2 linked regions of the Notamacropus eugenii genome follow. The protein of the gene in region 1 interacts with the protein of each later gene in a biochemical or structural test. Links are inferred from orthologs where the notes say so. Each region holds a gene or a part of one and is shown in the gene's direction. Other genes may lie near its edges.

Region 1 (7,492 bases):
CAACACTGTGGCCATAGGCAGCGGTTCATAAGACCAGAACTTGAAATCACAGCTCCATCATCGAATTTCTTTGGAGAAATGTATGTGTTTTATTTCCATTTGGAATTGTGGTCTGTGCCACGTGTACATTAACCTGACAAAAGACATTTATACTCTTAACCTCCCTCCCCCACCCAATACTATTTTAAAAAAAAGCAAAACTAGTTTGGGGTGAAGAAAACACCAGGGTGAGGTAGCTTATATAGGCTGTTCTTCAATGAAAGGAAAGATTTCCATGGAAAATAATATTGAATTTCATATATGCTAAAAAATTTGACTTTCCAGAGCAGATTTCCTTCCATCCACAGGACTCCAGATCCCACATAAATGCAGAGCCTCATCCCCATTTTGCATGTGGGGAGACTGAGGTACACATGGGCTAAGTGATCCAAAGGAAGAGCCTCTCACTTTGGAGACAGCCTTACATGTTCTATATGATTTTCTATCATTATAGAGGAAAATGAAGCCCCCTACCTAGCCTGAGTAATACACACAACAGCAGCTTTCTTTTTATTGCCTTAGCGACATATGCTGACTTAGTCAAGATCCCTCTAGTAAGCTGTGACGGATGATGTATGCGATGAAAAATCCTTGTCCAGCACTTGGAGAACAGCGAGCAGGCTGTGAAGACTCTGCTTTGTAGGGGACTGAGGAGACACCACGTAACAGCACCTTACATTACAATCTGTCTTTCATCCAGGAGAACCTAACCCTCAGGTGCAGAGTAGACTAATATGCATATCAGATTGCACCCCTCTGGGATGAGGCACAGGGTGCTGTCACCATCCCAGTTCCAGAAGAAGCCACCAAGACAGAGAAAGCTTGAGGGGAAACTGGATAAGCCCCAGGAAAGTGACTGGGGTTGCTGCCTGGAATGGGGGTTGGAGGAAGTGTGGAGTACAGAGAGACTGAAATGGACTCTAAGAAAATGTTCCCCAACCTCACATCCTGAAAATTTCTTTTTTCTTTTCATGAGAAAGGCAGTAAGTTTCATGTAGTGGAAAGAGCCCTGGTTTGGGAGTCAGATGATCTGAGTTTGAATCTAGTTCTAACACTTAAGAGCTCTGTGACCTTCAAGCAGTCAGTTAACCTCTGTGTGCCTCAAATGTCCCTCCCCTCAGAAACCTTGCAGCCCAAAGTTGGTTGGTTTGTTTTTTAATTTTTATGAGGGAAGTATTTTAAGGGAACCCTAAAGCTCTAGAAATGTGTTATAGCTTACTGCAGACAGTCAGTTATTAATAAATTTTTCTTTGGCATGGCATAAAAAGAAGTAGTTAGAGAAATTAATGATTCCTTTTATTTAAATGAATTTACCAGCCTACATGGACAATAATTTAAGAATTCCCTGAAGGACTGAGCAAAAAAGTTTTTTTTGTTTCTGTTGACATGGCTGATCCTTCTAGTGTGAAAGACCTGCCTCTTACCTGCACAGAGGTGACTTTCAACTCTCTTGTTAGTAGCCCCAACTCAGATGCTTCCTCCTCTGTGCATCCTTCCTCTACTATTTCTTTCCCCAAGTGATGTGACCTCTCCCTCCTTAAATCTCCCATAGAATTTTGCTTGGTTTTCTTCTTTATATTCACCTCATTTTCTCCTGTTATCCTGATTTGCATGCTTGTCTCCTTTCCCCTTCCTACCTTGAGAACAGGGTCTGTGGCATATATATTTCAATATCTATAACACTATACACATTTAAATAGATAATCAGTTTATGTTGGTTGAACTGAAACTCACTTCACTTCTTAGGACCTCAGTTTCCTTATCTGTAAAGTAAGGGAGCTGAATCGTATGAAGGCCTGCCCTTTTCAGTTCTAATTTCTATAATTCTGTGATCCTTCCAAACTGTAAAGGCTTCTGGTAACACACCATGTCTGAAGGATTTAAGTACAGAGAAGCTCATTACCAGAAGTTTGGTCATTAGGTGATGATTTTCTCATCCCCTCTCTCCCCTGGTAATTTAATCTGCATTGAGGTCCTTATTAGTGCAAATAATGAATCTAGGGAAGTGGTCTCATTATTTGAATTCACATTGCATGCTTCCATTGGGCTGGAATCCATTACCATATTTTACTTAGTTATTAACTCTGAATTGTGTAAATTCAAATACATAGGACCATTTATTTCAGAAGATTCATTTGTTATTTGCACTGATTAGGACCTAGCTGCATTTAAAGTATGGAAAGTTTGTGCTCTGTATCAGGAGAGGGATTACCCACACAGATGAAATCAAAGATCTTTTGAAGTAGATTTTAACACATTTATTTTCTTTTCACCCAGATGCTCTGCACTTGTAGGAGCTCCTGGAACTCTTTTAAGGTCTCTTCAAACTCAGATTCTGATTCACTTCACTCAGCTCATTCTTGTCAGTCTGTTCCTTTCTATTGAATTGGGAGTCAAGAAACCTGAATTCCAGGCCAACTCTGATAATCACTGGTTGTGTGACTTTGGGCAAGTCACTTAATTCCTCTAAGCCTCAGTTTCCTCATTTGTAAACTGAGGATAATAGTACCCATACTACCTTACTTACAGAGTTATTGTGAGGAAAACTCTAGTGCTATATAAATGTGAGCTATTATTAGGTTTGCTACTTTAAGCAATACAACCAATAATCATTCATCCAAAAAGCATTTATTGAGGGCCTACTGTGATTGCTATGAAATGTTTGAGGAATGATGCATAGAAGACAACTACCACCTCAGTCCTGATGGACCTGAAAGATAAGTCAAATTGAGGGTTGTGGTGTTAAGGAAGGGGATCTTATCTATACAAAGGTCTTGGATAATAACCATGAGTTCATTCACTCTGAAGCTTGCATTAGAAAGGATGGCATGCCTAAGAAAATAGCTAGGTGACCTGCTGCTTTCCTGGGAAACAGTTGGGAGAGACTAAGTGTATTTGTCACAAAAATAGTGGAACTATTTTGCTTCTAGTGAAAAGTACACTTTTTGGAGGCTGGGGTTTCATCCTTGTTCTGTCACTCTGAGCAAGTTACTTAACCTCTCAGCTCTTTTCTGTTCCGTGGGACCAATAATACCTACCCTTCCTACCTCACTGGATTATTGTGAGAGTCATGTGACATAATTAATACACGTGAAAGTACTTTGAAAAGCACAAAGGTCTATACAAGTAGGGGAGGTCCTGTTACTTTGGGGATAATATTTTTCTCTTTATTTAGCATTTTAGGCCACTCAGAAAAAGTACTGTGTGAGTACATAAAAGGTAGTAGAGGTAGGTGCCTACCTACCTCACCTTTAAAGTTTTGTTTAAATACCAATTAATTGCCTTCAGTTGGTAATGACCTTCCTTCCCTTAGACTTTACTTAGCTTTTTGTTCTGCATCTTCAAGCACTTAAGTAATATTGTGTATTTAGCTATCTGTATTGGTGTTTTATCCTCCCCAGCTAGATTCCTTTTGCAGGGACCTAATATATTCTCTTCCTTATGGCTACCAGTGGCCAGTATATACACTGAGTACACTGTAGGCATTCAGTAAATCTTGTAATGGATTATTCCTCTTGTCCAGGCCCCTGCTTCAGCTGGAGATCAGTCGTAGTAGTCATATTTGGCCTTCCCAAAGAGAGGCTCAGGGTGGAGCCACCCTACCCGGGAAAGGAAAGACCAGAGAAATGTCAGCTTCAACCTGCTCTTCCCTGTCTTCTGCTTCCCATGTGCGCATCTATTTCTTTGGGATAACAGCCCATGGCTAGAGTACTAACTAGAAAGAAGAGTGTCATCTGGGTTCTCCCTGCTCCTGAAGTGGGGGGGGGGGGGGACACAGAGAAGAACCACAAAGGGAGATCACCTCAACTCCCAGACCACCTGTTGAACCTTTGAAGCTCCCAATCCCTTGCAGGAAGGAGAGGTGGTAATTAATTTGCTTTGTTAGGTCCTTTATCCTCTAGCTCTCCTGACCTTGGGCTAACTATCTATGTAGGTCAGGGCAGACTATAACCAAAAAAACCCACACAAAAAAAATAAAAAACAAAAGGCAGCTATCCTTCTTGAAGTGCTTCCCTGGGATCCTCCCCTGGCACTAATGGCAGCAGCTGGTGGGTGGGTGGGGCAGAAGGGTGTCGTTGCTGGCAGCTTTCCTGCCCAGAATGTTTCTTCCCTTGGGCGGGAGTGGAAAGTGTGTGTGGTGGTGGTGTTGGTGGTGGTGGTAGTGGTGCTAGTGGCAGTGGGAGGTGAATGGGAGCTCCTTCTATGGACAGCAGTTTGAGGGGGGAGGGTGGTAAGACGGAGATAGATAGTAGGCTCAGGTGGGAGGGTGGTGGGGGCACAGTCATATTTCTGTCCCTTTTCCTTTCTTTCCAACTATTGTTATTGAGTTCTGGAAGGCTGCAGGCGCACTCTGAAACCAGCTTCTAAACCACTTAGGTTAATTTAACTGCTTGTGAAGAGCCCACCCTGCTTTGAGCCCGGAGCCTCCAAAACATCTTGAAAAGAAAGCCGGTGAGCTCTGGGTCATAATATGGTTTTCTTCTCTAAGCAATTTGGAGTCTGTCTCTCTGTGCGAGTGAGCGCGTGTGTGTGAGTGTGTGTGAGTGTGTGTGTGTGTGTGTGTGTGTGTGTGAGAGAGAGAGAGAGAGAGAGAGAGAGAGAGAGAGAGAGAGAGAGAGAGAGAGAGAGAGAGAGAGAGAGAGAGAGGAGAGAGGAGAGAGAGAGAGAGAGAGAGAGAGCTCTGAGTTTTACTGGCTGCTCCTCCCACAAGATACAACTCCCGCTGCCTCTGTCTGCAAAGCAACATTCAAACACCACTTTGAGACTTGGTGTGTGTGAGAAGTGAAGAGAGGAGAGCAGAGCTGAGGACCCCCCCCCCCCCCCCCCCAAGAATTGAAAGCCAAACTCAGTCCGCTGGGGAGATTCATCTGTCGCCTGTCTTCTCTATGTGGATTTTACAATCTGAGGGGAAACAAAAGCAATATTGAACAAGTTAGCCATGAGAAATGCTTTGCAGTGGCTCTCTGGGGAAGTTGTGTAGCAAGTGACCAGGGCTCTGAAGCAGCCTCTCTTCCCTCTTCCCTCCAAACTTTAGCTGTATTTAATGGTCAAGTATTTATTTGGATCCCCAGGCTAGCCCAGTTGCTCTCTTTCTCCCCTTCCTGGAGAGCCCTGTGAAGCAAGAGAGATGCATGTGGTGTGGCTCAAGCCGGGACCCCCCAGCTTCCTGGTCCTTTGGTCTCCACTTTTTCTACTGCTGCGCTCCATCCTGGCCGACTTCACCCTGGATAATGAGGTGCACTCCAGCTTCATCCACAGGAGGCTCCGCAGCCAAGAGCGCCGAGAGATGCAACGAGAAATCCTCTCCATCCTGGGTTTGCCCCACCGGCCCAGGCCCCACCTCCATGGCAAACAGAACTCAGCCCCCATGTTCATGCTGGATCTCTACAATGCCATGTCAGTGGAGGAGGAGGTCGGCGGAGAAGAGGGCCAGGGGTTCTCTTACCCTTACAAGCCCATCTTCAGCACCCAGGGTCCTCCGCTGGCCAGTTTGCAGGACAGTAACTTTCTAACTGATGCAGATATGGTCATGAGCTTCGTCAATCTGGGTGAGTGGGGTCAATGGAATTTACTTTTCCCACACAAGGTGGGACAGAGGGTATGGGTGCTCCAAGGTACCTCTATGGGAAGATGATGGGGAGGAGGCTGTTTAACGAGCAAAGGAGATCTCCACTCTCCTTTGTGGAGTCACTAGGGTGAACTGAAAAGGGGATTTGGGTTTTTGAGGGAAATAGCAAGGACTGGCTATAGAAAAGGCTCATAATTTTATTCTATCAGATCGGAGGAAAGCAGAATTTCTTCCCGAGATCGCTTTGAAGTAGCTCAATTTCTCTTTGCTGTAATGAGGACTCATATCCCTTTAACTGTCTTGAGTTCCCCCTGTTCCCCACACCCTCTCACCAGACACCTTTCTTCCCACCTGAATTCCTCCTCCTTCCCAAAACAGAAAGCGGATGTTTTTCTTTGCCGGGTCTAAGGCGAACGTGGACTGGGAACGTTCCCAGGTAGGGAAACCCAGCGTGTGAGTGTGTGTATGTGAGTGTGTGTGTGAGTGAGTGTGTGTGTGAGTGTGTGTGTGTCCTCACAGGGAATGTCTTCTGAAGTCTTTCTCTCTTTCCTGGCTGTTGTACCTCTTGGGGGAAGATGTAAAACCGGGAGAGGCAAAGAGCTAGTGAGATTCGGCACAGTTCAAAGCATCAGGCTTTGAGTCATGTGAATGCTCCCAGCTAAGGCAACTGCAAATGGACAGATCCCAGTGGATTGGGGGAAGCTGCCTTAGCCAGATTTAAAGGGCCAAGCTTCTGTTAACCTGCTTTCCTAATGACTTTCTCTCTCTCTCTCTCTCTCTCTCTCTCTCTCTCTCTCTCTCTCTCTCTCTCTCTCTCTCTCTCTCTCTCTCTCTCTCTCTCTCTCTCTCTCCTCTCTCTCTCCCCTCTTCCCCCCCCCCCCCCCCCCCCCGTCTCTATCTCTTTTTCTCTGTCTCTTTTTGTCTCTCTCTCTTACCCCCTTCTTCCCCTCTCCCCCAGTCTAGTTGAGGTCATTTAACATACCTTTCTGGTCAAGCTTCTATGAGGGGAGTTCTCTCTACTATAAAGTTATACCTGCCCTTTCGTTTGCCTTCTTTGCACCCCTTTAACTGGACTCCCTAGGACAGAAGGATTTTGTTTGCTTTCTGACAGCAATGCCCCTTCTTGAGTCAGCCAAGTTTGAGTGAAAACATTGCCATTGCAAGCATTCTATTTAAAATATATAATGATAGGTCCCTGGCTTACTGAATCCATTTTAAGCATTGATCACGTGTGGCTCACAAACCACCAAACACAGAGATTGGGTGTCTCCAAATCTCGGAACTGAATCTGGAGGGTAGTTTAGGGAATGGGCCCCACGCTCAGCCTTCACCAGGCATCAACAATGGCAGGAAGGTTTGGGGGCTTGGAGAGATGCCATGGCGTGTGTGTGTGTGTGTGTGTGTGTGTGTGTGTGTGTGTGTGTGTGTGTGTGTGTGTGTGTGTGTGTGTGTGTGCGCGCGCGCGCGCGTGTGTGTGCAGTTGATTGGGCATCTTCTTCCCTTGGCCTCAGAGGTGGAGGCCACCTGCTGGGAGGACTTTGGAAAGGTGGAATCTACAGTCTACTTAGAACCTCTGTCCCCAAACCCTCAGCTCTGAGCTTCTCATCTTTGGCAGAAATAATAACACTTATACTTCAAGTGAACATAATACTTGAAATACTGAAGTTAAACTTAAGGTTTACAAAAGTGCTTTCCTCACTTCCTTTCACAATTCACAGAATCCTATGAAGTAGGAAAAACAAAGTTACTTGTCCAGGGTCACACAGTCACTAAGGGTCAGAGCTTGTTTGTGAATTCAGAATCTCCTGATACTCAAGTTCAGGGCTCTGGCCTCTGTACTGTCCCATTGGGTTCTTTTTTCCCCCCTCCTCCTCCTCCACCTGT
Region 2 (7,677 bases), on another chromosome or scaffold:
CCTGTTCTCCAGGATACTAATGGTTTACTAAGGAAATGAGACATGAACTGAAATAGATCTGATAGCAATCAATTAGAGGCAGTTAGGTGATACAGTGGATAGTGTGCTGGGCTTGGAGTCAGGAAGACCTGAGTTCAAATCTAGCCTCAGACCGTGACTAGCTGTGTAACTTTGGGCAAGTCACTTAACCTCTGCCTATCCCACTTTCTTCAGCTGTAAAATGGGAATCATAATAGCACCAACCTCTTTCAGGGCTGCTGTAAAGATCAAATGAGATAAGGTTTCTAAAGTGTTAAAGTGTTTAACAGCACACACATAGTAGTTAACAAATCCATCAGTCCTTTCCTTTCTTATTAGAAATGTATATCCTGTGATGAAATACTACTGTACTATAAGAAATGATGAGCTCAGTGATCTTAGAAAAACATGAAAAGACTTGCACAAAATAATGGAGTGAAATGAACAGAACCACGAGAACATTGTATACACTAAAAGCAATATTGTTTTAAGAACAACTTTGAGCAAGTAAGTCATTTTGACTATATAACTACCTAAGTTAGCTAACGTATGAAGGAAGAAGCTGTCTGCATTCAGAAGAATAACTGGTAAATAGAAATATATATAGAATGATTTTACATATGCATGTCTATTTGTGTCTATGGTAGCCATCTCTAGGTAAAGGGGGGAAGGGAAGAAAAAAGGGAAAAAAAGAAATTTACATGATAACTTTAAAAGGAATTGCAAGCTGTACATATGATTTGCAGTTTCATGTACAATCATTTTGAAAAATTATACTGTTATGAAAATGCTTGCTTTATTCCATAAATTAAAAACAAAATAAATAAAAATTGTTTTTTTTAATGTATATACTTACTAGGTGTTAGAGAGACAAGAGATTAGGAAAGAAGAGATGTCCTGTAGCCTTTCTTAGGTAGGGAACAATTGTTCCTAGGTGCTGGAGAAACAGAAATAAAAAGTGGAAAACATTTTTAAAATTTCATTTATTTATTTATTTATTTGTGTTTTTGGAGGGAGGAAGGCAAGGCAGTTAAGTGACTTGCCCAAGGTCACACAGCTAGTAAGTGTCAAGTGTCTTGAGACTGGATTTGAACTCAGGTCCTCCTGACTCCAGGGTCGATGCTCTGTGGTGGCACTGTGCCACCTTGCTCCTCCAAAACATTTCTTTTTTTAAGTGAAAAAAATTATTCTTCAATTTGCACTTAGTTTATCACTTTTCTCTCTGAAACAGGTTTTTCATCACAAGTCCTTTGGAATAGTCTTGAATCATTGTATTCTTTCATCATTCTAATATTGCTGTTATTGTGTACAATAATCTCCTGATTTTGCTCATTTCACTCTGCATCAGTTCTTAAAGGTTTTCTCAAGTTTTTCTGAAACCATCTCCTTCATTATTTTTTAGAACACAGTAGTATTCCATCACAATCGTATACCACAACTTGCTTAGCCATTCTCCAATTAGTGGCATCTTCTAAGTTTCCAATTCTTTGCCACCACAAAAAGAACAGCTATAAATATTTTGTACATATAGGTCCTGTGAAAGACATTTCTACTGAGGAATACAACATGTAAACAGTAAGAAAAAGATAAATTAAGGAAAAATAGAGATTTTTTTTTTAATGCTAGCGATAATAGGGAATCTCTAAACTTTTGAACAAGAATGCTGCTCAGAGATGAAGATCCAGGTCTTAGAGTATATCAGTGGTTTTGTGGTAGAAGATGGTCCAGCAAAAGAGAAAGCGGAGAAAATGGACAAATAAGAGAAACCAGGAGAGACCAGGAGAAAGTGGAGGCAAAGAGTGTAATTTTTTTTTCTGAAAGGGAAGTGATTTAGGAAGATAAGCCCCCACCCACCACCCCCATTTGTCAGAAACTGGAACAGAGGAGATGAGGATGGTGAATGATAATACAAAAGAGATTTTAAGGTGTATAATAAGGATTTCACATTAGATGGTCCCAACTTTTTCACTTAAGTAAAGGTTATATCCTTCGAGATAAAGATTGGAGGGGAAGGTATATTAGGCTCCCTCATTTGTAAGACGGAGGGTTGTTAGAGTGAATGAACAGCTCAAGCTTTTATTGAATATCTATTACACTATAATACAAAGACAAAAAAGTCAAACAACCCTCTGGTCTCAAGGGGCATCTGTTTTACTGACTGTTCTGGGTTCATAAGACTCAACAAGCTAACCGAAAGAGAGTATCTAATCTGATACCTTTACTGTTTATACAAGGTATTCCAAAAAGTCTTAATGCAGTACTGAGCTTTTAATAGCTTTAAATGGCACTAAACTCTTGAAACGGACGTTAGTTAAGTGGCTTACCCACAGTTAAACAACTGATGTGCATCCTATGGTGAGTGGAGTGCTGGACTTCGAATTGGGAAGACCTGTGTTCATGTCCCGCCTTTCATTTCTTATGTTTTTAATCCCTCTGATCCTTAGTTATCATATGATAATGTCACAGGGTAAAATCTTACAATCCATAAATGCCAGTACTTGTCATAGTTACTGTTTTTATATTTGCTGTTAAGTATATGATTTGAAATTTAAACTCAAGTCTTTGATCCCAAATAATAGGACTTATTTATATAGGACCTCCAAATTGTTCTTCCTACTACATCAGGGATTCTTTACCTTTTTATATGTCATAGACACCTTTGGCAGTTCAATGAAGTGTATGGACCTGTTCTCAGAGTAATATTTTTAATTACACTGAATAAAGTGCATAGGATTGATTACAAAAGAAATTGATGAGATTGAATAAAATTATCTACCTATTTTTTTTTAAAGTTTATGGACCTTATTTCTAAAGTTCTGTAATAAATAATGAATGGGGATCTCAGGAAACAAACCAAAAATCTAATGCTTTGTTCATTAATTGAGGGTGGTGCTACAGTTTGTTTTGAAAATTCTGAGTTTTATGCTTGGGGACACCAGGAGATAGGTTAGACTTTTAAGTCCACTGCTGACCTTCTGGCCTTTCTCTATCCCTGGATTGCGCACGTTAGAAGTACTTTCTATCCCTGAAGCCTCTTCCTCCCATTAGCAACTTCCCCACAGAACATCCATTTTGAGAACTATCCCCAGATCACCCTGGTCTTCAATTTCTCCAGGCTACACTCCAGCTGGCTCTTTAGATTTTCTCTACAATGCCCCCTAAGTCATCTGGTTGTTGTTGCTGCTGCTTGGTCATTTCAGTTGTGTCTGACTTTTCATGACTGCATTTGGGGTTTTCTTGGCAAAGATATTAAAATGGTTTACCATTTCCTTCTCTGGCTCATTTTATAGATGAAGAACTAAAGCAAGCAGGGTTGAGTGACTTGTCCAGGATCACACAGCTAGTAAATGTCTGAGGCTGGATTTGAACTCAGGAAAACAAATCTTCCTGACTTCAGGCCAGGCACTCTATTCACTGTACAGCCTAGCTGCCCTTGGTACCCTCCTGGTACCTTTTTATTTTTCCCACCCCATCTCAGTTTTCTTTATGTATTGTCTTCTTCCATTAGAGAGTAAAGTTCCCGAGGTCTGGGACTGGCTTTCTGCTTGTGTCTTCCCAGCCTTAGCACCATGCCTGGCATATAGAAAGCCCTTAATAAATGCTTGTTAACTTGATATGATGTTGGACTTTTTAAGTGCTTTCCTACCCATGTGGAGGACTCTATAGCTTTGACTTTTTAACATACTGCAAAAGCTTTTTTACAGCACACTTTGAATAATAGTCATGAAGGACACCATCCTTAGCACACCCAGGCTGCCCTTCCTTGGTGTCCTTCATTCTCATTTGTACGGAACAGCTGTCTTGGATCTTGAGAAATTCTCTGCTATGGAATCTTCCCAGTACCTTTTTGAGTGAGGGAGGATGGTGTCCACCAGGGGCACAGGGCCAGGGCTTTTACTGATATGCCTGAGAGTTGTATTATAAGGTGCCTGTAATTCTAGGTGGTTCCAGGATGGGACATGAATTTCATTGTGTCTCATTGCATCTCCTTATGTTAAAAATGTGCAGCTACACCAACATTGACGTTCGTTTTGTTTATTCCTGAAAACATGGCATTTTGTTTTGCTTTTGGTCATTCAGCCTCATTTGGGGTGATTGTCAGCTGGGAGGTTGGCAGGAGGGGGAGAAGAGAAAGCTGCATTTTGGCAACCCTTCAAGAGTCGAGCAGCTTCCTGCAGCCAGGACCATAAACTGTATAATTTGTCCATGGAGGCCTATGCATTATAGAAATGAAAATTCCTTCTCTGACAGCATTCACTGCTTAGCACGCAGCAATTTGGCTGTCAGAAACAGCTGGCCCTGCAGGGTGGGACAATAGAAAGGCAAGACTGAGAGAGAAGGAAGTGCTTACTCAAATCTCCCACTGTGAGAGGATCAGGTTACTGAGTCCATCCTTACAACAGACAGCAGACTGCACGGGGCTCTAAGACACACAGCTTCAAGTCTGAGCAGGAGACTATGGTTCAGACATTTTAGTGGTGTTTTGGGATTTTTTTCTTTTCCTGAATGGAACAACAAAAATATTAAAAAAACAAACCTCCTTCATGGGTACTCCAAATGTGGCTTTCTCTTTGCATTAAGATATTTTGAGAGTCTTCTGCTTGGAGATAAGCATTAATGGGAAAGTAAGTCCTTTGAGCTCTTGCGTGTGTCTAATTCATTGGGGCAGTGGAAGGGTATGTGAGGGACGGGGAAAGTATTTCTTGATATATTTCATGCTTGGTCTAGAACTTTTTTGTTCTGTTTAGGAACAGTTTTTAATTGAAAGTGATTGACACAAATATGAGGGAAGACCGAAGCAAGAGGCTGGCCGAGGGCTCCTTCTGGGTGCGTTTTTGCTGCTTGCATGGGTGCACACTGTCTAACTGGCATTTATTTCTCTTGGAGGGAGAGAGAGGTGCCGCTGTCTTGAACTTGCTTCTCTCTCTGTGGGTCTGCAGCATGTCTGGCTTTGTGTTTTCCCCTATCGATTCCATGACTCACTGAGTGTGATCTAAGCAAAAAGCTTGCTTAAATGACAGAGGAGACAGCTGTCTGTTACAGGAGGACATATTTTCTGGGTTTAATGGCGCCAGGTTTTTCCTAGTAATGTACAGAGCTGTAAAGTTTCTACAGAAGGTTTTTTCTTCACTAAATGTTTTCCCCCAGTTGTGTTCCAAATTCTTAATAGTCTAAATATTAACTTCACAATGTGATGTGTCCTTCAGGAAAGCAATATGCTTCAGGTTTTTTTTTCTTTTTGTAGATTACTTTTCTAAGCTGATTTTTTTTTCATGTAAAAAGTATTTGAGAGAACAGAAGCCCAGCATTGCTGTGGAAAAGATATTTTCTTCTCCAGCTGAGTAGGGCATTGGAAATATACTAAAGTACATTTATTTAGGCAAGTTAGAGGGTTGGAATCTGGTAGTTGTTCAATTTATACTGTACTCTAGGTTTTTTTTTTTTTGAATTTTCCTTCTCCCCTTTAAATCTGTTTCCCCTTTATATGATAGAGGCTGAAGTTCCAGATGTTGTTTTGGTTTAAAGAGTGTGTGGAAAAAAAATAAGCTTTCTTAATGATAATAACAGAGTCAGACTGGCTGGTTCTGTACTGACAGGAAAATGGAGAGATAAAAACTCCATTAATGGTGCATGCACTGCCTAAGTAGCCAATAAAACAATGCTGTCTTCACTGGAAACTAGTCCCAGATTGGCAATGATCAGTGCCAACTGCAAAAGACAACAGCTGCAGAGCTTGACAAAAGTATTAGAGTAAAAAAACGATATATTAAATGATTTTTGAGAGGGGGAGGGCGGTTCTTTTGTTCTCATCTTCCTTCTCCTTCCCACCCTCTTTTCTTAAGTCCTGCTTAATACTTGCTCTTTTGGAGAGTTAACCATGTTTGATTGAAACTTAGCTATCAAAAGAAGAAAGTGATTCTCTGAATGAGTCAAGTTCAAGTATATTTGCTGAGGTTTGGATAGAGGGCTGTTTTTGACTAGGGACCTAAGTGCGAGTGTATCTTAAATTTTTAAAAGTGGCCTCACTTTTCACAAAAGTTTTATTTTATTCTTTAAGTTGGTAGAAGAAAACATTTTTTCCCTAGCTTTACTTCCTAGAAATATCTTCCATTTTCTGAGTGATACATTCTTTTTACTTCTACACCACAGGTATTATTTTATTATTTTCTAAAATGTAGCTCATTTCATAAGACATTATTATGTATTGTACAAAGTTTGTATTCATTCATTCAGTAAATACTTTTTGAAAATCTGTATGTGACACTGAAGTGTATACAAAATCCTTGGCTGAGGAGGAGGTTAAAATTTGGCAAGTAGACTACAACTTAATAATGTGCACTTTTTCTTTTCATTTTTAAATCAAATTTAATTTTTTCAAACAATGAAAATCTGCCTTATCTCTTCTCTCCCATTGAGAAAAAAGAAAAAGAAAACTGTTGTTACAAACATGTATAATCAAATAAAACAAATTCCCACACTGATCACATCCAAAAAACAAAAAAATCTTCAATCTGTACAATGAGTCTATCACCTCTTTTTCAGGATTTGGGTAGCTTGACGATCACAGGTCTTCTGGAATTAAATAGTCGTTGTGTAGAACTGTATTCTAAATCTTTCAAAGTTGTTTATTGTTTAAGTATTGTTGAATAATATGCTTTTCTATAGAATTTGGAACTTTGAAGTTTCTAAAAAGACTATTTGCATAAAATTAACTATAAAACAAAGTAGTAAGTCCTGAACTGCATAAATGTTGAAAGCCACAGTGAATTGTATAGGCATTCAGAAGAGTTCAGATACTCTCCTTTATAAGTATTTTGCCATCTGAGGTGTATCAGTGGATGTATGCAGGATGTGCAGATTAGAAACTTTAAATTACATGAGTGGACAAGATATAACATATAGGTTAATGTTATGTAGATATATTTGGGATGGAGATGTAGAAGCCTGTTGTTAATGTTTATCCTTTGCTATTGAGAGGTCCAATGATATCACAAGGGTGATGTCTTGACTTCAGTAAGAATTGAAGTGAGGCAGAATTACACAAAGTCTTCAGCCTCACCTCACCCTCTGGTTGAGCAGTCCAGTGGCAAGACAAAAGTTTGGATGACTAGTGATAGCTTAGGGTGCAGCGGATGACCTTGAGTTTTCTAAATTAAGGTCTTGCCCAGCCTTCAGTTTGTCTGACAGTGTGTGTGTGTGTGTGTGTGTGTGTGTGTGTGTGTGTGTGTGTGTGTGTGTGTGTGTGTAGGAAAGCTGCATGAAGGAGGTACAATTTGGGATGTTTAAATTGTAACTGATGAATCATCTGGTGTTATGGGGAGGAAGAAATACCCTAGATTTTGGGGGGCTCCTCTGGCTAGAGAAGATAGTAGTGATCTAAGTGGAAGAAGCATTGAGCAAGACAGAAAGAATGAACTGTGATATGAGTGACTTGGAAGTGAAGAATTTTGAAGGTGAATGAAACTTTTGGGTTTGATCCGTAAAACTAGACTAGAGTTTTAGGGAGGGGTTAATTTAGAGCTGGAAATAAGGACCATAGTACTCATCTAACCCTATTTCCTTTATTTTATAGATGAAGGAAAGGAAACCCAGAGAGGGTAAGTAGCCTCTCCAGGGTCACACATTATCTGGCCTTAGAATTCCAACTCAAGTCTTCTG

What was found. The genes of interacting proteins can lie anywhere in the genome.
Region 2: the proteins of BMP7 (region 1) and ACVR1 form a complex in vitro, tested with the Homo sapiens proteins (2 studies listed by BioGRID). The link is inferred for Notamacropus eugenii from reciprocal best matches to the Homo sapiens genes BMP7 and ACVR1.

Annotation. Positions count from the first base shown.
Region 1 is NC_092872.1:508,734,147-508,741,638, forward strand, and holds the start of BMP7 (bone morphogenetic protein 7), read left to right. Parts: upstream 1-4,411; 5' UTR 4,412-4,491; intron 4,492-4,945; exon of another isoform or gene 4,946-5,111; 5' UTR 5,112-5,167; coding exon 5,168-5,588; intron 5,589-7,492. UniProt on the Homo sapiens protein: Growth factor of the TGF-beta superfamily that plays important role in various biological processes, including embryogenesis, hematopoiesis, neurogenesis and skeletal morphogenesis.
Region 2 is NC_092876.1:216,757,495-216,765,171, reverse strand, and holds the start of ACVR1 (activin receptor type-1), read left to right. Parts: upstream 1-4,620; 5' UTR 4,621-4,635; coding exon 4,636-4,643; intron 4,644-7,677. UniProt on the Homo sapiens protein: Bone morphogenetic protein (BMP) type I receptor that is involved in a wide variety of biological processes, including bone, heart, cartilage, nervous, and reproductive system development and regulation.